Linked DNA regions of Pelodiscus sinensis. The protein of the gene in region 1 interacts with the protein of each later gene in a pairwise test. Links are inferred from orthologs where the notes say so. Each region holds a gene or a part of one and is shown in the gene's direction. Other genes may lie near its edges.

Region 1 (7,308 bases):
CTGAGTACCATAGCTATGATGACCCAACCCCCATTGCAGACTCAGATAAGTCAATGAAAGAATGCTTCTGGTAACCAGCTGACATTGCTTGGGGAAATGAAGCATCTATAGTGATGGAAAAAATCCTTCAGTCACTATAGGAAGCATTTATTCTACAATGCTACAGCAGAATTTCTATCAATGTAGCTGTGCTGTGGTAGCCGTACTATACACCATTGCTGTGAGAGCTCTCTCACATTGCTGTGTCTAGAGAACTTTCTCTAAGTGAGAGTGAGTAGCTCAGCCCAGTCTCTGTTAAGCTTCAAACATGAATAAGCTCTCAGATAAATAAAATTAAAACTACAATAGATGCAAGTCAGCAACAAAATGTTTCTATACAGTATTAAGTTTTCTTATGTGATGTCAAGGTAGACAGTTCTTTCTATGGGGGCAGAGTTAAGGTCGTTAGAAGCATTGTTTTGAGGAGCACAACCTTAACCCTGAATTTTCTAGGTACTGTCATTTTTTAAAAATATAATGTTCTTGGGTTGCAGAATGCTCTCCAGACACTGATATGTGCCTGCTAGGAATAGTTTGAAAAATGGGCCCATGGACCAGCTCCTGCAAGCCCTAAGAGATCCAGTCCTGCAGAAGTTAGGAGGCATAGGGGAAAAGGGAATAACCCATGCCATGTTGACTACTAAGTGTCCTAACTCCAGTTTCTGGACAGGAGGGGGAGACCTCTGAAGAACTGGATAATGGTCTCTTCTTATAGCACATAGGAAGGGGGAGAGGAAAAATATGTCTAGGAAGAGGCTTGGGGATCAGCAATAGCAGGATGAGAGGGGGAGGGAAGAACCTCTCTAATTAGGATCCTAAGTTCCCTGCAGCTCTAGCTCCTCCGCCATACCAAAACTAGCTTCTGAGTCTGAAACATTCTTACACATGGTTCAGGATTCACAGACTCTCACTAGTCATGACAGGTTCACCAGCAATCCCCATTCTGTGAACTGTTGGTTGGAAATAATCCTTTTTTTGTTCCCTTTCCATTGAGGAGCCTCTCTAGTGGTCAGGTTTCCTCTTAAGATCTGTCTGTTCAGGGAAAGAGAGAGAGGCTTCTTCTTCTTTTCTTTTGTATTGAAACCATAAGTCTCTCTTAATTCCGTGACATCTTGTAAACTGGATTGCACGCTTAGCAGCTGGGGAAGTTACACTTTACTTCATATCTCTTTCTTCATGCCTTGTTTTACTACCAAAACTAAAACCCAGCATAAATTGACTCCACTCAGGGTCTTTCCAGGATCAACAACTGGGAGGAGCGAGGCTGTAGCCTTCCCCTTTCCTTTTTATTACCCTGTCAAAACCAGTTATATAATAGGCAGGACCTTTTGCATGTCAGAACATATTTTCAGCTGAATTAAGTTCACCAGTTTAGAGCAGATATTCCATAGCAATGTTAGCAATGCAAAAGTAAATTCACTTTTGACATTAGAATTTAATCACCTAAAATTTGATGTTGGACACAGAATTTCAGCTATTAAAAGACTGAATTTTATTTTTTCCTCTCTCTTGCTTTATGGATGTTTTTGTTTACTTACAAAGTGGCAACAAAATTAGAATATTTTTTTAAATTAATCAATCCACTCTTTCCAAGCTATCATAGTTCTGGAACCCCTTATCCAAATCACTTCCAAATCTCTCTCTTTTTCTCTCTGTAAAATCAGACTTGTGTTAGAAAATCTAAACTATGGCTCCCATGTAAATATACCTTTCTTGGGGTATTTGTTTGACACCTGTTAGTATCTAAGGTCCAAATCCTCAAAGGCATTTAGGTGCTTAATTCAATCAGCATCTTATAAAGTCCACTCCTAACCCTGTAGAGCTTTAGGATGCAATATGTGTGAAAGGTGCTGTACAAGTACAATACATCTGAAGTTTTGATTTTTTGGGGGAAAAAATCAATATGTATTCCTGTTCCAAGCAATAAATATACAAACAATGTTTGTTACATCTGTGGACCACTGAATTTCAATGATCTAGCCATTCATCCCTTTCAAACCTTTAATCAGGAGCAAAAGAATAGAGATTTGGATAATCTTACAGCCTAATCCAAAGGATTTCTTTATTTAGTTTTTATGTATACAGTTTAATAAATTAATTTGTACTACACCCAGTACATATGTAATAAAGCCTACCATGCTAACAATTGAATAGATGTGCAATACATAACATACTTGTCCTGATCCTTGGCAGGTGTAAAAGGCACAGTTCTCTAGAAGCAGAGGAGCTCTGTTGATTTAAACCAGCTAAAGTACTGATGCTAGGAATTTAGATAATATTATTGAGACAGAAGCCTGCAAATTTTAATTTTGTTTTGTAAAGGGAAAAAAAGTCTCTAATTTTACATACCTGCTAGTACAGGAAAAGTCAACTACGGATATTTAGGGAGGAAAAGTGCTTTTTTAGCCCAGTGTACAAAGTGATAGGGAGAGCATGTCTAGAAACATGGAACCAAATTCATACCTGATGTAGGCAGATTCTCATTTACTTCCATTGGGTTGCATTGGCCTACAAAATGATGAAAATAATATTATGCTACAATTTGTCCAATCCTTCTTACTTCAGGTCATAAATTGGTATGTTTGAATTTAAATATTTAAAAAATATGATTTCCTGTTTTGGTGTTTAATGTATTATCCTAATATGCCTAGTTTAAAATAAAAAAGGCTGAGATAGGAAGAAACATGACAGAAAATATCAGTTCAGTGCTATTCTTCAGTACATTTTCAAGCCATCGTTACTGTACTAATTTTTAATGTGTCTTGTTCAAGAATGTTACTTTAGATTTGTTGTTTATTACTTGCCATTATGTATGATTGAAACATTCTCAATTAAAAGATTTAAATGCTAAAAACTTGTTGCTAGCTCAGTGCAAAGTAATCCTCACGTCACCAAAAAAAAATAAAAAATCTGTGAGCAGGGATTCTTTTACTCTTTTAGACTCGCTCAACATTGACCTCTCTGCAAATCATGGAGGTTGGAGCCAGTATGGCACCTGAATCTAGATTTCTGCAAAGTTCAAGGGATGTCTGTAAACTGTTCCAATTCAACTAATTAAAGTAGTAGGACTGAGTTAGGGATGTAAAATCCCATTTAATCTGTTAACTGGAAAAATATTATGGTTAACTGGTTAACTGCTTAAACTGGGGCAGGCATGAAAAAAATGTTAAAATCTTGAATTACAGCCACTCCCGGAGTTACGACCACCTCCACTTACGACCATCCGCACTTACAACCAAAGCAGTCATAAATACGGATCCGAGTTACGAACGGCGATCTGCGCTTACGAACAGTGCGGTCACCATGTAACTCTCTGGGATCCAAGTTATGAACACTTTGAGTTACGGACCAAGTGTTGATCCGTAACTTATTCGTAACTCGGAGAGCAGCTTTGTTTTTAGTATGTCACAATTGAGGAATCAATTGTCAAATTTGCTAAAAATATCATATTTAATCTACTAATGTTGGTTATTATAGTCTGGGAAATAAGGAGCTCAATTGGTCATTCAATTGCAACCATGATTATGGAGCTGCTTGATACTGATACTGCAGCAGTGTGAGAGAGTGTAATGCATTGCACCCAAGTGGGACGATTGCCTGGACATCTTGTGCTTGTTTTACACATAGGCAACATTGTGAATTTTGTCATGCCCATAGATTACTGTTGAATTGACTTACTGTGTTTCATCTGAAGATGTGGGTTGTGCTCATGATACCATCTACATGTTTTGTTAGTCTCTAAGGTGCTGTAAGACTATTCGTTGTATTTTAAGTTGTAAGTTGTCCCGTCTGAGGTTCGCACTTTTAGATATTTCAAAAGCACGTCTCTTGGTATCAATGTGGCTACCCCGTGTGTGTGAATTATAATTATATATGGGGTACCTGTACGGTGTGAAGAGGGGCTGTGTGTATTTGTGTGAGATAGAAGCAGAAGAGGAAAATCTGTGCATGCCCAGCAGAGAGGGCACTTTCACACTACCCCACAAGCTGACAGTGAATCAGGAACCGCCTGAACCTGTCTTGCCAGTGGCAACAGAGGACAGCGCCCCAGCTAGTGCTGGCATGCGAGGCGTATGTTACACTCTAGCAGCCAAGCGAGGGTCAGCCTGGCATGCGAGGAGGTGCAGCTGGAGGAAGCAGGTTGGGGGCGGGGAGCAGCCAGCAGATCGCTACACCGCGGCGTGTGGGCACTGCATGTAGCTCTGTAGCACGGAGGGGGGAGGGGACAGCTTGCTGCTACTGTAGGTAGGTGTATCCCCGCTGAGATCATCCCTCCCCTCCCTTCCCCTCAAGCGTACAGCACAGGGCAGCCGCAGCAAGCGTGGGGGGGAGACCGGCCTTTTTGAGTCCGACGTCACCAAGCCGTCACCCTAGCGGGAAATTCCCAGCCGTAGGGAGGAGCGGCCGAGGTAGGGCCGGGACCAGCTGAGCCGGAGCATCAGGAGAGCGCGGAACCGCCGCCGCGGAGAGTCCCGGGCTGAGCGGGCACCATGGCTGGTAAGTGGCTGCAGGGCGCTCTCCATAGGGCGCCTTGCGCTCGCTGCGTGGGGCCAGCTCCTCTGCAGCCCGAGCCCCGGCGGGGCGGCCGGTGGAAGGGCTGCCCCGTGCAGTGTGGGGACATGCAGTGATACGGAGCTTGGGCTTGCACTGCAGGCTGTAGCGTCGATCTCCTGTACGCGTGCAAAAGCCTCTGAAGCCCCGAAGGGCTTAGCGGGTGAGGAGAGGTCACCTGGGGGGCTGCGAACAGTGCAAGCGTGTGACGAGGTGCCTAACTTCCGTACAACCGGCAGTGAGTTGGGCTGGCGTGCCCTCCTCACCCAGCTTGGGCAGAGCTCTGGGCTTGGCAGAAGACACTTGCCTTCTATTCCTGCCGTGAAGACATCTGCTGCCAAGAGAGGCTCGATTGACATTATCTGACCTCGCCCAATGGCAAGTTTCTGAATCTGACATGGCTGTGTATTCAGGGTCTACTGTGTGCGCACCGACCTAAACAAAAACAGCTCCACCAAGGCCTTGATGAGAATATGACTTGAGTGTGACACACAGGAAGAGGTGGTGAAGGAAAGAATTAATTTTTGTTGTTGTTGTTGATGAAGGGAAGTAGCCGTGTGAGAGCTAGTCGATGAGGAAGTCTGTTCACATGACATGAGTTTCAAGTGTGGCTTTTTGTAAGAATGCCGGCAGAATTTTATAAGACCAAATTCACCATGGGTGTAAATGTCAGTAGTTCTGTTCACTTCACTATAGTCATGTCCCCAACATTTAAAATTCCTCCTTCCGCTACTACTTTCTATGATAAATCAATCAAAGAGAAGAATATGAAACAAGTGTAAAATATACACACAAATATGCCTGTGCCTGAGCTTATCACAAAATTTACACCATGTGAAATTTTCTGTGGTAGAAGAACAAAATTAAACAATACGTTTATGAATACTCAAGTAATTTTCTTGACACAGTTTGGACCAAATTTTCAGACTTGGATATTAAAAAGTAAGGCATCTAAATCTGTATTCAAACAGTTAAATATCTGAGTTAGGTCCCCAAATCCCTATTAAGATGCCTAAAATAGGTGTTTAGTTGTCTAATTGTGAATATTCACATTTGAAAATGCAACCCCAATGTTCTGTTTTGTTTGCAGTTAGTGTATATAGGAGAATATAACAAACATTATATAAGGGACAGTCACATTCACTTTCCCTCAGCTGTCATTTGGTTGAAGGTGGGAGAGGAAAAGCTGGTTATTTGATCAATATGAATGTCCTTTAACAAAAAAAAACCCAGCGGTGGTGGCATGAGAGGGGGGTGAGCCCATTTTAGAACCTCTTCTGAGAACCTACTCCTTAGGTAGACATGAGCTCCATCCACTGCTCTGACATCTGCAATAGGCTTGCTAGATCCCTTCCATACTCACATCCATGGTACAGGTGGATGAGCACTAACCCCCTTTTCACAAACATCTGACTGCTTTGTTTGTACGAAGCTCTCCCTGGGTGCTAGTTTGTTCCCTCCTTTGCTGCTTAACATCTGGGAGGAAGGCACTGATTCTTATCCTGCCTTACCTTCCCTGTAATAAAGCAGGGTTTTTTTGAGGAGGGGTGGGAAGGAGGAGAGTAAATGCCTGCCAGTGGGAGGGAGCTTTGGAGAGTCTTCCTTTTCCTATCAGGGCATCCAAGGAACCCAGGCTCCTTCTCAGCTGTCATAACTGGGAATGAGATTTATTTCTACTGTGAGCATGGGTATTCCTAAAGGGCCTTAAAGGTGTCATTTTATCCCTTGGAAAGAAGGTAGCAAAACTTTTAAATAAAAATAAATGGTCACCATATTGGACAGTTGGTGCCTCTGATCCTTGTGGGTTGTGGCAGTCTTGAGGGTAAGAGAGAGTTGCATTTCAATCACCCAGAAATGTCCTAATTGCAAGAGTTAATATAACATGAAAAGCCCCAGTTGTTTAAGAGGTGTGTCTTAACTAATTCATGCATGCAGTGATTTTTGAGGCTCAATATATATTGCACATGAACAGGTTATGAAAATTACTAGTGATTTTTGGCTGCTTAAATATGTAGGTACCCAACTTCAGACATCTTAAAGGGATATGACTTTCTAAGGGTAGGTGTACAGTGCCTATACATTGTCTCAAGTTGAGCACCTAAAAATGGAGTGCCTCCCTTCCTAAGTCACTAGTTGCATCTGAGAATCTTGGCCTATTTTTGTTATTCATTAAGAATAATAAGCCAAGATTTTCAGATGTTTTGCTAAAAAGGCGACAATCACAATTTTTAGAAGCAATATTAAATCCTTGTCCAAGTAGCTCTTAGGTAGCCATAAGGAATAAGTTAATGAACAAACATAACATCTGAATTAATTAAAACATTAAAAGATTCTGATAATGTTCAAAATGGCTCATTGAAATATAAAAGAAAAATGAATCCTTGTTCAAATAAAGAGACTAAATTTACAGTATATGTCTCAGATTGGGGCAAACATCAGTTGGCTAATGTCAGCTTAGTGCTTAACTGATCCCAATTCAAATTAGAAGAGGTGATGGCCAAAATAAATTAGTATGAAAGGGAGAGGCAGTACCATTGAAAGTGATCACAGATTTGGTAGCCATAGGAATCAAAGTTCTAATTTAGTTTCTCTTGGTCTCAGCAAAGTCCTTGCATTCCACATCCTTTGAAAAGTTTGTCCTCAGGCATGTTTCATAAGGATTTAATAATTTTTAGTTTTAGAACTGGTTGCATGAATTAGAGTGATTGCTGGCAAGAA
Region 2 (7,859 bases), on another chromosome or scaffold:
TTGCGGATGACACTAAGCTAGGGGGGAGAGGAAGATACACTGGAGTGTAGGGATAGAGTCTAGAATGATTTAGACAAATTGGAGGACTGGGCCACAAGAAATGTGATGAGGTTCAACAAGGACAAGTGTAGAGTCCTGCACTTGGGATGGAAGAATCCCAAGCACTGTTACAGGCTGGGGACCAACTGGCTAAGTAGCAGTTCTGCAGAAAGGGACCTGGGGATTACAGTGGATGTAGGAATAAGAGATCCTCCGGAAAAGGGCTTTTTTTCCGGAGGATCGGGGCCAGTGTAGACGCTCTTTTCCGGCTTTTCTAAAAGCCGGAAAAAAGCGGCGGACATTTTTATTTAAATGCCGCGGGGGATATTTAAATCCCCCGCGCATTTCCCTATTGCGATTTCAAAAATTACCATGCCCCTTCCAGAAAAGGGGCCAATGTAGACGTAGCCCTAAAGTTTTAACAAGTCTAGGTCCAGGAAAAAGGGAAAGTGGGTAAGTGCCCCTTTAAAATCTTTGACAAAGCACCCTGTGAATGGTATACACAAAGGGGAATAAAATAAGGGATAAGGGATCTTTCGGAAAAGGCTTTATTTTCCGAAAGATCCGCGTCTAGACTGGCGCTTTTTTCTGGCAAAGCTCCGTGCCGAAAAAAAGCGGCAGCCATTTTTATGCTAATGAAGCGGGGGAGATTTAAATCCCCGCTTCATTAGCAATTGCGATACGTCTAATTTGCATCCCTTTTACGAAAAAGGGATGCAATCTAGACATAGCCCCTGTGTATTTGGCTTGTGGAATTGGCCTGAAACAACAGGAATAGAGATGTAGTTGTGTTAGTCTGGTGTAGCTGAAACAAAAGACAGGACTATGCAGCACTTTAAAGACTAACAAGATGGTTTATTAGGTGATGAGCTTTCCAATCTAAGTCATTGGATGGATGCTTTCCAGAAGATCTCCTTCTGTACAGAGAACTTACGGACACTCAATTTGCTGAGCCAACGTACATGCAGGTTCAGGGGCGGTTGAAAGGACTTGAACAGTTTGAGTATTGACCATGCAAACTGAGATGCTGCTGCCAGCAATGGGCCATGTTGGAGGCCTGCACTGTACCAGAAATGCTGGTTCAGAGTCAGATAAGTGAAGAGAGCAAAGAGGAAAGCGAAGCAGCAGCAGGCCTCAGATGCTAATAGTGCACCAGCTTCATCCTCTGGCCCTGCACCTAGTGCCTGTACTGTTTGTGGCAAGGAAATTGTGGCTTGAGAACTGGACTGTTCAGCCACTCACAAAGCAGCAGCATGACAAGCCTGAACTGATCAGCTTTCTGGCTTACACCATTGTCTTTTCAGTCAGACAATTGCCATGTAGTCTAGCCAGCAGCAAGCATCTGCTGCATTTCTGTGTCACGTGAACCAGTATGACTGTAAACAATTCTTTGGCTGTCTTGTATATGTGCATATATAACACATCTTGCTTACCCAGACCACTGGTTTTGATCATGTCTGTAACAGGGCAGCTGCCCTGTTCTGGCCCTTTAAGAGTCAAACCCCAGCCTGGAGCAGGCCCGGGGCCTTCAGCCCAGCTGGGCAGCGTTGGCCAATTAAGGCCCAGCTGGGAGCCATAAAAGGGGAGGGCTGCTTCAGAGAAGGGTGTGGGCCTGGTGGCTGAGGGAGCAGGATGCTCCCTAGGGCTAGGCCAAGGGTGCTTGGACAGACAAATGGCTGGCCTGAAGTAAGGCCTGCTGGAGAGACACCAACCCCCTGGAAGGGGAGGCTCAGAGTGAGTGACTTGGGCATTGCTGGAGGGCAGTGTGGTGAAGAGAATGATGTGACTGGAGGATTCCAGAGGGGAAACCCCACGTGAACGGAGGCCTGTGCGGGCGGAATGGACTGATTCTGGGGACAGATGATGGACCCCTGCTATGGGGATGAGTGAACCCCTCACAATGTCAAATTCTTCAGTGAAAGGGGAACTCACTCTGGCTAGTCTAGGTTGCTTTAGCCAGAATTGTATCCTAGGTCTACACTATAGACCAGTGGTCCCCAATGTGGTGCCCGCGGGTGCCATGGCGCCTGCCGGGGCATTTGTGTGTGCCTGCTGACAACCTGAGCTGGCCCCGCCCCCAGCATGTGGCGCACTGGAGGCACTGGCCCCAGGAGGCGCCGGCCCCAGGTGCGTACCACGCACCGGTGCCTGGTGCGTGGTGCTCGGGTGGCCCCAGGCCTGGGGCACATGCAGGTGTGCGGTGCCGGTGCCAGGCCCGGGCCCACGGCACAAGGCGCTTGGGTGGCCCTGGGGCACATGCTGGCCCCTGGGTGCCCGGCGCGTGAGTGGCCCCGCCCCTGGGTGCCCGGCGCGTGAGTGGCCCCGCCCCTGGGTGCCCGGGAGCCTCTAAAGGTTGGGGAACCACTGTTATAGACTTATGTTGGTATAACTGTCTCGCACAGGTACACCAAACCATGGCAGCAGCACGATGTCGACAGAGCGTTGTTCTCTGCCAACCTGGTGTGGCAAGGTCAGTCCCAGTCCTGGGCCCCTGGCCAGTTCACAATCTCACAGATAGTTTAGGTACTGCAGCATGGGCCCCCCCTTGCCCTGGCCAGGGTTGGACTTCTGTCCCTGGGCTAGGAAGGCATTGGGGTAGGTGCCTCCAGTCAACCTGGGCTGGGTAAACAATCCTCCCCCACCACTGGTTGAACTCTCAGGCTACCTGAGGGGAAGAGAGCCCAAACACTCCTTATCAGAGCCCCCCCTCCCCCCCTTGCTGTCTTTGGCAATGCTGTTCACCTCATCAGCTTTTCTGACTCCCTCCTTGTCTGGTATAACCCTCTCCATCTCACTCCAACCGCCTGTCCCACTCCCCAAACTTCCCGCAGCAGGGAAGGCTTTTTAAAGGGTCCCGAGTGCCGCCTGAAGTGAGATCAGCTGGCCCTAATGCAGAGGTGGGCAATACTTTTAGACAGTGGGTCACTTCACCACTTTTTGGCGTGGGCCCGGGCCACCCTGTCATACTCTGGCAGAAGGGGCGGGGCCAGGACACTTCTGTGCTCCCCTGCCTACAGACCCTGACTGGCCTGGGGGTGGAGAAACAAGTCAAGTCTTTGCCCTTTGCCTCCCCTGCTTAGAGAGAACTGCCAGGTGTTCTGAACAGCTGGCAGTTCTGTTTAGGCATCTGCCCCCTCTCAGGGCAGGAGGAGACTTTGCATGCTTCCCCCACCCCCAGGCCAATCAGGGTCTGGGGGAGGGAGAAGTACACAAAGTCTCTTGCTCCCTGCAAGTGGCACACCATGCTTGCAGGGCAGGAACAGGGTGGGAGAGACTTTGCTTGCTCCTCCCTCCCACAGGCCCTGTTTGCCCTGGGGGTGGGGGAGTGGCAGAGCATCTATGGGCTGGATTGGGCCCATGGAGGCCCCTTTACCCACCCCTGCCCTAATTGATTTATAGTAGGCCTCCTCCCTCACCTCCGCTATTCCCACTCCACCCCTGGTAACTCTGAGTCAGCTGCTCCCTGCTGCCATAAACCAACCCTCTCCCAATTAGCCACCAATGTCCCAAACACTCATTGAGCCTACTGGGGGATGCTGCACACTGGCCAGTGGCAATAATAATGCTCTGTATTGCTGTAAGGAGAAAACAGCTTCCTGGATTTTCAACAGATACAGAATCATCATCTAATTCCCACTAGGCTGAGAAAGATCAAGTCAGTGCACTGCAGCATTTCAAAGACAGCATCTTAATTACAGCTGGGTGAGTAGTGAGGCAAATTACCCAGAAGTATTTCAGCAAGTTCTCAATACTGATTTGCTCTTACTGCCTTTACACAAGGGCTGTGTCTAGACTGCATCCCTTTTCCGTAAAATTTTAAGAGGAATAAGGGATCTTTCGGAAAAGGCTTTATTTTCCGAAAGATCCGCGTCTAGACTAGCGCTTTTTTCCGGCAAAGCTCCGAGCCGGAAAAAAGCGGCAGCCATTTTTATGCAAATGAAGCGGGGGGGATTTAAATCCCTGCTTCATTTGCAATTGCGATGTGTCTAATTTGCATCCCTTTTATGGAAAAGGGATACAGTCTAGACACAGGCAAGCATTTGCAGAAAATCATGCTAGTTGAGACGTAGCCAAAGTGAATCCGAATTTGACTCGATACAGGTACTAAAAGTGCTCCCCCCCCCTCCCAGGAGTGCAATAAGCACCATGAGTCACCTGTCACATACTTGTTTGTTCTCCCCCCAAGGAAGAAGCATGTGCAAGGGGGTGTTTCATGCTGGAAGGAAAAGCTATGTAGCACTTTAAAGACTAACAAGATGGTTTAATAGGTGATGAGCTTTCGTGGGCCAGACCCACTTGTACATAGTTTTTCCTTTTGTTTTAGCAAGATCAGACTAACACAGCTACCTCTCTATTACTATCCCGCTGGAAGGGTTTGTTTTCCAGTGCTTAATTTGCAAGAGAAGAGCTGTTGGGGCGCAAGGAAGTTTTTTACATTCATAGCTGACACACCCAGCCTGGAGGTGCTGGTTTGAGCCCTGGCCCATTGTGAAGCCTGGGGTATTTAACCTGCATAGCAACATGTAGGCTTTAGAGAAGGCAGATGTCCTTGCTTCCAGCATTCCAGAAGGGGGCAAAGCGTCCCAGGGGCCAAGTCCAGCCAGGGAAAGTGGCTTCTGGCTGAGATCTACTGGATCCTCAGCACAAGTTGGTCAATGGCAAAGTAACTCACGTTAGGCTGAAGCACTTTACAGGGCTAGCTCAGCCAATGGGCGCCCATGGCACGTGCTAACAGCAGCGGTTCGAAGGAATCCGGAGTCCCAGCAGCTCCCCAGAAATCCATCGCCCGCCGTGTGTTGGCGAGAAGCTGCTCGCACGTTGTGTGTGGGGCTCGGTCAAAGCGAGAGGCCCCGATCCTGCAGCTCTTCGGAGCTTTCGGAGCGCGGTCCAGGCCCAGGGATGCCCCCGAGGGCAGGATCGGGCCCTCGACTGGGCGGCACGTTACGAGCTGGTTTCCCCGGGCCTCGTTAGGAGCCCGGAGCGCTTCGCTCGCCTGCCCCCGCCGAACGGGCACAACCGCGGTTCCCAACAAGCCGGATTGGTGCAAACGTGCCGCGGGCGCGTCTCTTGCGCGGGCCGAGATTATTTACTTTGCAAGGACCAGCCACCTCGCCCAAGCTGTTCAAAGCGCGTCTCCCCCTCCGAGAGCCGGGCAGAAGCGAGCGCCTGAGGACGCTGCCCCTCCCCGGGAAGCGCTGCGGGTAAGAAGCACTTAGTGACAATCCACCTCCCTGGGGGTGGCGCCCGGCGTCTGTCCCCGGGGCAGCCGGGGAGCGGTGCTCCCGGAGTGCGGCGGGGAGGGGGGCTCGCTGCCGTGTCTCCTCGGGGGTGGGCTGGGGCCCTTGCGTGGGCATGGCTGGGCGCCGCGCGGCTTGCTCTGATCCCACCCCTCGCTCGCCCACTTACTAGGCGCTGCCTGGCGCCGCGCGTTGGGCGGGTCGCGGCCGGGAGCGCAGCGGTGCCAGGGCGGACCCAGCGCTGCTCTCCACCGGGCGCGGGCTGATCCGCGGCGCGGCGAGCTCCAGCGAGCCCGGGGACGTGGCCCTGCGCGCCGCGGAGCGCCCCCGTCGCGAGGAGCCGCTGCCTGGCTGGGGAGATGCTCACACACTGACCCCGAGCCCGCGGGGAAGGGTCCCCCTCGTGCCCGCTCCAGCCGGCGATGCCCCAGCAGCGCCCCGCGGCGGCTCGGTGAGCAGCGGGGGGCCTGGCCCCGGACCCGGCGGTAAGTCCCCCGGGGCTGGGCTCGAGGGGCCGCCTGCCGCTTCCAGGAGGGAGGCTGAGCGCGGCTGTTGCAGGGGCCGGGGGAGGCTCCTGCACCGCACGGGGCTTGCGGGCCCCTCTCGGCCGCAGCTCTGCAAGTTTCCCGGCAGTGGCGCCGGGCGGGCGGGTTGGGGCGGGGGTGAGGCTCGGCCTGACTCTGTGCATAGTTTAAATCCAGGAAACGGTTCGCCTCCGAGCGAGCGTCCCCAGCCCTGCCCTGCCCGGCAGCGCCTGAGCCACGGCCGCCGGAGGGCGCTTTGCAGCCCCTTCTACAAGGCCACGGGCACCCTGCGCTGGGCTGCGAGCGCCTGGCTCCGTCAGCTGCAGCTGCCCGGTCAAACCAAATGCTCACTGGCCCCTGCTGCTCCGCCTTCCTGCTCGGACATTGCTCCACGACTGCGCTGTCTGCTCTTCGCAGAGCCTGGGACCTGATGGCATTTGCCTTGCGCCTGGGATCCTCCCAGGCTCGCAGTAACTAGGGGAGAACCTCCGCTCTGGAGGAGTAATAGAGATGTAGCCGTGTCAGTCTGGTCTGACTGGAGCAAAAGACAGGACTATGCAGCACTTTAAAGACTAACAGGCTGGTTTATTAGGTGATGAGCTTTCCTGGGCCAGACCTGCGATTTTTTTCCTTTAAAGCTACTGAGCGCTCTCCCCTTCTAAAAGTATGAGAGACAATCCAAGTTCTTAGAGCATTGCAGGGAGAATCCATCACAGCTTGTGGATTCTGGCTGTGCCGATCAGGAGGCGAGGAAGTGAAGAACACTGCTTCTCTTGCAGCTTCCTAACAGCCCTTGGGTTCTCTGCCGTTGGGGGAGCCAGAAAGAAAGGCTCTGCTAATGTGGTAGGCTAAGTCCACACTGCAGCGCTATTTTGGGATATCCTGCATCTTCACAGCAAGCCTGTTACTTTGAAATACAATGTCCCTGTGAACCTCATTCCACGAGGAGCAAGGGACGTTTCGGAATAGCGGGTTATTTCGAAAATCTGGTGCTGTGTAGACAGTACCAATGACGAAATAAGCTATTTCGAAATTGACTCGAAATGAGCTACACTATTTGTGTAGCTCAAATTGCGTAGCTTATTGTGAGCTACTGGGGCAGTGTAGACGCACCTGTAGGGCCCTGCATCTATTCACCCTGAATGTTTAAGATACCACCTGGACATAAGAATGAGCCTGATTCTTGGCAGCAGCTCTAGGAACTTCAGGGATGGGTTTAGAGCCGATGGTACATGTGTCCTATGGCACATTTTAAAGCCCTTTCTTCTCTCTCAAGAGTTCTGCACTACAAATTGCTTGTCTTACTCATGCCGGTGACGCAGCTTACTCAGTACTACTTTGCTCCCACTCTGGCTGTCTTATCTATTGAGACTGTAACTTTTCAGGGTACTGTGTGTTCATAGGAAGAACAGTCAGGCCTAAATCTGGGTTATAGCTACCATAATACATGGCTATAGCAGCCCTGCTAACTTCAACAAGACTGCTGTTGTGAGTGTGGTGCTTAGCATCCAGCCTGGATTCACATATGCCCAAAGATTTACCTGGGAGAAGAGATCAGTGATCCACTTTGCATTCTGATTGTTAATTTCCACAGGCCCTGCACTTGGGTGCTTTGAGGTGTTGGATATCCTTCTGGCAGCTCAGTGCTGCAGGGTCCCCTCCCGCTTTTCTCTGCCCCACTTGCTGTGGATGCAAGTCATAGCAAATGTCAGTGAGCTTGTGAGTGTGCAGATGCTTGTTTGCCACCAGTGTGTGAGTGCCTTCACTTTTGTACGCTTCCCGTTGGCTGTTGTGATCCTCAATGCTATTTGCTTTGTAGCATCTGGGTCTGCTGAAACCTTGGTGGGTGATTAACTGCTTTGTATAGGAGGTGGTGGGAAGGGCTCCTTTTCTTTGTAGGAACAACTCCCAGTATTAGGCTATGGCTACATTGCGGTTTTTTTGCGGAAGAGGATATGGAAATCCCGCTCATATTTGCATATTTTCTTCCTATTCTTTTTGCGGAAGAGGTGTTGCCGATAAAAAGCTCCATGTAAACGGGACCATTTGTCGGAAAAAA
Region 3 (7,436 bases), on another chromosome or scaffold:
CCTGTGTCAGGGGCAGGGCCCTCTGCCCCAGGGTCTATGATGACCAGGGGGGCACGGACTGTCTGACCCCCCAGGATGCGGTCCAGGGCCTCATAGTAGGGGCAGGCCTCCGGGTCAGCCCCTGGTTGGGAGGCCCTGGAATAGGCCTGCCGCAGCTCCTTGATTTTGCTGTGCACCTGCTCCTGGCTGCGTATGTGGCCTCTGGTGGCCAAGCTGGCAGCCATGCAGCTGTGGACGGCCACATTCCTGTACCTAATGTTGAGATCATGGACATTGGAGGCCTCCCCCCAAATCTCAATGAGGCCCACGATCTCCGCACTTGACCAGAAAGGCACCCGCCTTTTGCGGCCCCTGACAGGCTCTTGGAAGCCGCCAGCCTGGTCCTGGGGAGCGGTGTAGGGCTGGGTGTCAGCGGGTGGCTGGCTCATGCTGTGCCAGGTGCACGGTCTGCTGGCTGTGTGCTGTCAGGCTGGCAACTGGCACAGGCACTGTGGCCAGAGTCTGCTCCTTTAAGGGCTCTGGGGCTAGGGCGGGAGCAGACAAGTTTTCCTGGTTTGGCCCAGAGTGGCACCAGGGGGAACTGGGAAGGGCTGGAGGCCCCCTAATTCGAAATAAGTGTCTACACAGCACTTATTTCGAATTAGCTATTTCGAATTAGGTGTTATTCCTCGTAGAATGAGGTTTACCTAATTCGAAATAAGGGCTACGCTCTTTCGAATTTATTTCGAAACAGCAGTTTGTATGTGTAGACAGCTATTACAGTTAATTCGAAATAACGTCTGTTATTTTGAATTAACTCTGTAGTGTAGACATACTTAGACTCCCAGGATAGCGCACATCTCTTCTCCTTTGACTTTTAAACTCCCTTCACATCAGTGGAAAACTCCCGGAGATACGATGTTTGCTCTGTTGACAGCAGAAAACACATTTCAAAGGAGAACCCAGTATTGTGTCTCTCATTCAAATGGCAGGGAAATCTGAGCAATTAGGCATATCAGGAAGGGTAGAATAAACTCCTTGCATAAAGCTAATGAACTAAAGTATTTTATGAGGGTTTGTCCACTTGATGCATTAATGCTGACTGTGGGCTGTGATTTCTAAAGCATACTGACATGTTGCACACTGATCGGCCTGTGGACCCTGCTGGTGCACTCTGAAGGTGACCTGGGCTATGTCTGCACAGCAGCGTTATTTTGGAATAACTAACGTTATTCTTTAAAATTTAAAAAATATACGGAGATATACCTATCTCATAGAACTGGAAGGGACCTTGAAAGATCATCTAGTCCAGATCCCTGCCCTCAGGTAGGATCAAGTACCATCCCTTACAGATTTGCCCCAGATCCCTAAATAGCTCCCTCAAGGATTGAACTCACAACCCTGGGCTTGAGTGAAATAACAAAGAGCATATCTACACTGCAAGCCATTATTTCAAAATAATAACAAGCTGGACGACTTCTTACTCTGACTCTTGGTAACCCTCATTTCATGAGGAGTAAGGGAAGTCAAAGGAAAAGCACTCTTCCTCCAACTTCCTGCCGTGTAGACGTGCCAAAAGCCGAGTTAAGCTACTCTGACTCAAGCTATGCAATTGACGTAGCTCAAGTTGTGTAGCTTATTTTGGCTTTAGCCCTGCTGTGTGGACGTACCCCAGTGAGCTCTAACAGCATACTGCATTAATCATTTGGCATGAGACATAGGGTTGCTTGCTAGGGTGATCTGAAGATATCTCAGCAAATCAATTCCCTGCCATTGCAGAGGGCTGGGGCCCTGGTACACCAGAGCACCTGAAGATCTCTGCTTGTGGCACACACTATTTTAGTTCTGTGAGGGCTCTAATACTTGAGTCTAATTCAGCTGGTTGGGTTTGCTGCTGGGGTGGTGAGGGACATTCAGTAGCCTGTTGTGTAGAGGAAGTCTGACTGATGTGCTGGTCCCTTTTAGCCTTAAACCGTATGGCTGTGTCTAGACCGGCCGCTTGAATTTCCACAAGAACACTGACTTCCTACTGTCTGAAATCAGTGCTTCTTGCGGAAATACTATGCTGCTCCCGTTTGGGCAAAAGTCCTTTTGCACAAAGCTTTTGCACAAAAGGGCCAGTGTAAACAGCTCAGATTTGCTTTGCGCAAAAAAGCCCCGATGGCGAAAATGGCGATCGGGGCTTTTTTGTGGAAAAGCGCGTCTAGATTGGCACGGACGCTTTTCCGCAAAAAGTGCTTTTGTGGAAAAGTGTCCGTGCCAATCTAGACGCTCTTTTCCTCAAATGCTTTTAATGGAAAATTTTCCGTTAAAAGCATTTGCGGAAAATCATGCCCGTCTAGATGTAGCCTGTGACTTTTATGCACATGGAAGCTGATGCAGATAAGATAGGATGATATATCATAGTATTACAGAGGTATCATTGGCAAACATAGATTTCTGCCTGTATCTCATGCATTCTTTCTCTGATTGCCACCAGTTTTTGTACTCTACCTCTGTACTATTATTATACTGAGGGGACTGACAGAATTGCCCCTGAGCAAGGTGGGGAGTGCCTGGCTCTTTGCTCCTGGAAAAGGCAGGGCTTTGGGCAGAAAGGGTGGAGTTGGGGCATGCAGTGTTTTGAGGGCCATTTAAAGATCTCGGAGTTCTGGCCTCCATTGTGGTAGCAGTCCTTTTTCTTTGTTGTTGCTGTTTTGTTTCACTGGTGCAGATATATTTTGTAGGTGTATAAAGCCTGTCCTAAAGAAAACCAAGCACATCTGCTGAACAGAAAGTATAAGAACATAGCACAATAGATTGCAAACAGGTTAGCACCTGGATTTTGATTTTACATGAAATTAAATTGAAAAGAACTGAATATCTTTATAAAAATCTCCTTGACTACATAACATTAGCTCTGTGTGTATCTGTCAGATTTTTTTTTCTTTTTTCATACCCATAGTACATGCTGTGTGAATTTAAAATCTCAAATGGCAAGTAGGTAGAATTATAAATTCATAGCAATACATAATAATAATGGTAAACTTTTTTTTTCTTCTCCAAGAAGAAGGAAAAAATCAGGCTGATTTTAAATTTATTCATGCTCTAAGAACTGTTTCCCCACCCCTGAATTTGGATCAGCTCACATAGGAACTTTGAAGCCAGTGTTTGAAAAATGAAGATACTTTGACTTAGAGAACAATGAATTGCCAGCCTTTAAAGTGCACACAGATCTGATAACACAGGGGAGGTAAGCCAATGAAATTGCACGGGTCTTAAGGCGGCAACAACTGAGGCTCTTAGACCTTTGGCACTTAAAGATGTATTGGCACCTTTGCAAGATTAATTTTGTATGCAAAATAAAGCACATCGTTTTCATCTTCCTCTCTGGCCAGTACTGTTTATCTGCAGCAGCAGAAGCCAGTCGCCGTGGTGACAACCAGCACAGCTGCCCTCTGGAAGACGGAGGTTAAAGAAAAGTTTGCATACAACTTTCACTGCAGGATTTGGGCAAGTACTCCAGCGTTGTGCTTATTTACTGAGAATAGGGGTGTTAACAGGGGAAGACTTGAGAGACCCTAATAGTTGTTACAAGAACATAATAAAATGGGTGCATAGTATATAGGCTATTTGTAAATATATATGAATGGCACATGCACATAAATGACAAGTACAACACACACACACACATATTTTATTTGGGGCCAGATTCTAATCTCAATTACACCGGTAAAAACCAGAATAGCTCCACTGTCTGCAGTAGAATTATTTCTGATCATATAGTTATGCATTATAAATTCTACAATTTATAATATATATAAATATATACATAAATGTGTAATATCTGGGTTTCTATTATTCCTCTCCAGCTCACCTGATGAAGTGGATTTTGCCCATGAAAGCTCGTGATACTATATATATCTTTGTTAGTTTTTAGGGTGCCACAGGACTACTCGTTGTTTTTAAAGTTACAGACTAACGCAGCTATCCCTCTGAGACTTTCTGATCATAATTAGACATGTATAAAGCCTCCAAATTACTTCAGTGAAGTTCTTCCAGATTGACACCATAAAACCCCCTTGGGATCTGAAACAAACTATAGAGTCTTTATAGATTGACACCAGTGCCTGATTTAAAATGAAATACAGTGTGATCTTTACAGTCTCTAGAGAGCACTTTTAGCTGTCAGTTTTATTATTTATCCACTTTCGCAGCCTGCCTCTGCTGTAACTGAGAGCAATTAAAACACAATCCTGCACAGATACCTTTTGGTTGAGTCCAAAGAGAGAGAGAAATCCTGTAAAACCTTGAAGCCCAATCTGCATGCTCAATGACCACATAGAGGGTAACCAAATGATGGTAAAACTTCTGGGGCACCCCCTACACATTCTTTTATAAGGATTTTAAAAAGCCTCTTAAAAACAGCAGCAGAGATCGGAGTTTCTGAGGGGAGGGGAAAAGAGGAAAAAAAAAGTAGAGAAGAAAAAACTTTGGCACGCATGTACTGCCTTACATCAATCTATGTAGATGTTCTTTCCTCCTTTTGTGTAACACCCCTTTCCTCCTACAGACCACCCAAAGCCCTATAAATAATCCAAGCACTCTGTTTTTTCTTCAGCTTTCTCCTCAGACCTCAAAAGAAAAATATCAAGCAGGGGAAGGGAGGGTGTGTGAGAGAGAGAGAGAAGATGGCTAGTGAATTCAAAAAGAAAATGTTTTGGAGGGCAGTAGTGGCTGAGTTCTTAGCCATGAGCCTCTTTATTTTTATCAGCATCGGCTCAGCACTGGGCTTCAATTTTCCTGTAGTCGGCAACAAAACAGCAACAGCCACTCAAGACAATGTAAAAGTCTCTCTGGCTTTTGGGATCGCTATTGCCACCATGGCACAAAGTGTGGGTCACATCAGCGGTGCGCACCTGAACCCGGCGGTGACCCTGGGTCTTCTGCTGAGCTGTCAGATCAGCCTCTTTAAGGCTTTCATGTACATTGTTGCACAGTGCCTAGGGGCCGTGGTGGCCACGGCGATTCTTTCGGGAGTCACTTCGTCTCTTCCAAACAACTCCCTTGGACTCAATGCGGTAAGCAGATAAGCTTTTCTCTTTCACTTTCAAGAAGTGCAAAAAACTGTGTTTAAAAGAGGTTTAATCCAAAACCCACTGAAGTCAATGGACACCTTTGCCTTGACTTCAGTTGCCATAGGATCAACTGTTTAAGGCTTATACGGTCACTTGGTAGCACAGCTACTCCTATAATCCTAAGGATAGCTAAACCATCTTCTATAAACTCCAGTCATCTGAAGAAGTGGGCTGTGCCCACAAAAGCTGATGATACCATCTATATGTTTTGTTAGTCTATAAAGTGCTACCAGACCATGTGTTGTTTTTCTGTTTATCCTGTACAGACTAACTCGGTTAGTTAGCATCTTCTGTAAGACAGAGATCAAAGAATGGTCCTCTTTCCCCTGAATCAAGGTTGTATGTTTGTGATTACTGGAATCACATTATGTTTGTGTTTGCTTTTCTGTGTCAAGCATGAGATAATCAATGCTACCTAATGATTTTTAGATGCCCTAATGATTTTTAGATGCCCGATTCTCATTTAGAATGATTGGTAACTGGGTGTTCGAATTCCTTAGCAGACTTTGAAAATCTCAGGCTACGTGCCTGGTTCTGGTGATGGATGTACATTTGTATTGTGTTCAGGTTACTCTGGGAGGCTGTCAGATTAGGGGTTCAGATAAGGCCAGCTAGGATGCTGTGTAAGAACATTGGTACAAATCTAAGTAACCACAGAGAGAAAAAGAGGGAAAAGGGGTAGGGGCAGGAGAGATCGGTAGCAAATGAAACCCTGTGGTCAAAACTCTACAATGAAATGCTCTTGGTGCAGATTTGCTCTCTGATATAGAGTCATAGCTGCCACTTGTGTTTTTGTTTATTCATAAACAGACATATGGAAATGTCGAATTGTGAATTGCACTGTTCGTGAGGCGGGGAGGCAACTGTCTATGAAGGCACCCTGGATTCAACACTTTTACAACCAGATGTTTTTTTGGCTGTGTGACTGTGGACAGGCATTTCATTAAAGCTGCTCCGATCATTTAAATGCAGCTGTTCCTCCTTAAAAGGTTGGCATTTGGCCAGAGTGGCATCTAAATGGATACACATATCTTTAAGCATTTGTCTGGCTTAGAAGGAACCTATTTTCAGTTTCAGTCACATAACCACAAATACCTTGTTAGTGCTACCTATAAGAATATTAAAGCTGGGATTTCCCTTATGGCTAGTTACTCGATCTGGTTGTATAAAGTGCATTTATTTCACATCTTCTGGCTGTTCCCGCCCATATAAAAAAATTAAGCTGCAGTTTGTGACATTAATATTCAGCATCCAGTTTAATTGAGGGAGCATATTTGCAAGTGAAGAGTTTGATCAGAATGTGATTTTACTATAAGTAACTCCTTTAGAAGAAAGAGAAACAAACAAAAAAGTCAGGGAGTATGAAATGAACAAACAATGTAGTGTGGTTTAACATACTGTGGAGTCATAGGCAACTACAATTAATATTATGAAAAATATAGTGAACGTTGATATTTAATTCATTACTCCAGACTAAAATTGGGTGTCGTCAGTCTTCATGTTCTATTCCAATATAGGTTGCTTGTTTACCTTTCTGGAATCTGTGGATACAGGAATTTGATAATCCATCTATCCACTCAGCTTCTAAATTTGGATAATAATTATGGGTCTGACTCAAAGCCCAGGGGAAACAATGAGAGTCTTTCCATGGACTTCAGTGGGCTTTGGATCAGGATTTAAAAAATGGTATGTACTCATTCCCTGTGAAACCAGTGCCAGGGGGAACTAGACCATGCAGGAGTGAAACACATGGGACATGAAGTAACCAAAGAAGGCTCCTGCAAACACCTAGCTGCCAGCTGCCATTAAATGCGGGTGGTCTGTTTCCCAGAGTTTTAGCATTTGGATTTCCTCATCTGCACACTGGGCAGCCATAAAACTCTTGCACATTGGTTCACCCTAAAATTCAGAGCCCTGAATCTGGACTTCTGTAGAGTGGGTACGTGACACTAGTCAAAACCCCTCTTGTTTCTTTGACTACCTCCAAGTTACAAGGATTATATACACTGGGTGCAGGCAAGGGGTCTATGGACCTTGAAGAGAAGGTGTCAGGGAGGCGGGGGGAAATTCAGAAGATGGTGCTGAAATGACAAGAAGGCAGGGAAGAAAATCATACAGGGCTAATAAAGCAAATACGGGCTGTCTGGGAAAGCAACCATCCCTTTAGAAAAAGTGTGTCCTCCACTTGGGCATGTGGCCTCAGCTTTTAAACAGACCACAAAATCAGGAACTACTGTATTTTCCGGCGTATAAGATGACTGGGCGTATAAGACGACCCCCTAATTTTCCAGTTAAAACATAGGTTTTGGCCTATACTCGCCGTATAAGACTACCCCCCCT

What was found. The genes of interacting proteins can lie anywhere in the genome.
Region 2: the proteins of REL (region 1) and CPNE2 interact in binary tests that used the Homo sapiens proteins (3 or more experiments, as listed by UniProt). The two-hybrid records come from large-scale screens. The link is inferred for Pelodiscus sinensis from reciprocal best matches to the Homo sapiens genes REL and CPNE2.
Region 3: the proteins of REL (region 1) and AQP1 interact in binary tests that used the Homo sapiens proteins (3 or more experiments, as listed by UniProt). The link is inferred for Pelodiscus sinensis from reciprocal best matches to the Homo sapiens genes REL and AQP1.

What each region holds. Positions count from the first base shown.
Region 1 is NC_134713.1:180,083,852-180,091,159, forward strand, and holds the start of REL (proto-oncogene c-Rel), read left to right. Parts: upstream 1-4,294; 5' UTR 4,295-4,529; coding exon 4,530-4,536; intron 4,537-7,308. UniProt on the Homo sapiens protein: Proto-oncogene that may play a role in differentiation and lymphopoiesis.
Region 2 is NC_134722.1:43,490,918-43,498,776, reverse strand, and holds the start of CPNE2 (copine-2), read left to right. Parts: upstream 1-4,854; 5' UTR 4,855-5,240; intron 5,241-5,627; exon of another isoform or gene 5,628-5,761; intron 5,762-7,859.
Region 3 is NC_134712.1:249,461,894-249,469,329, forward strand, and holds the start of AQP1 (aquaporin-1), read left to right. Parts: upstream 1-4,431; 5' UTR 4,432-4,649; coding exon 4,650-5,039; intron 5,040-7,436. UniProt on the Homo sapiens protein: Forms a water channel that facilitates the transport of water across cell membranes, playing a crucial role in water homeostasis in various tissues.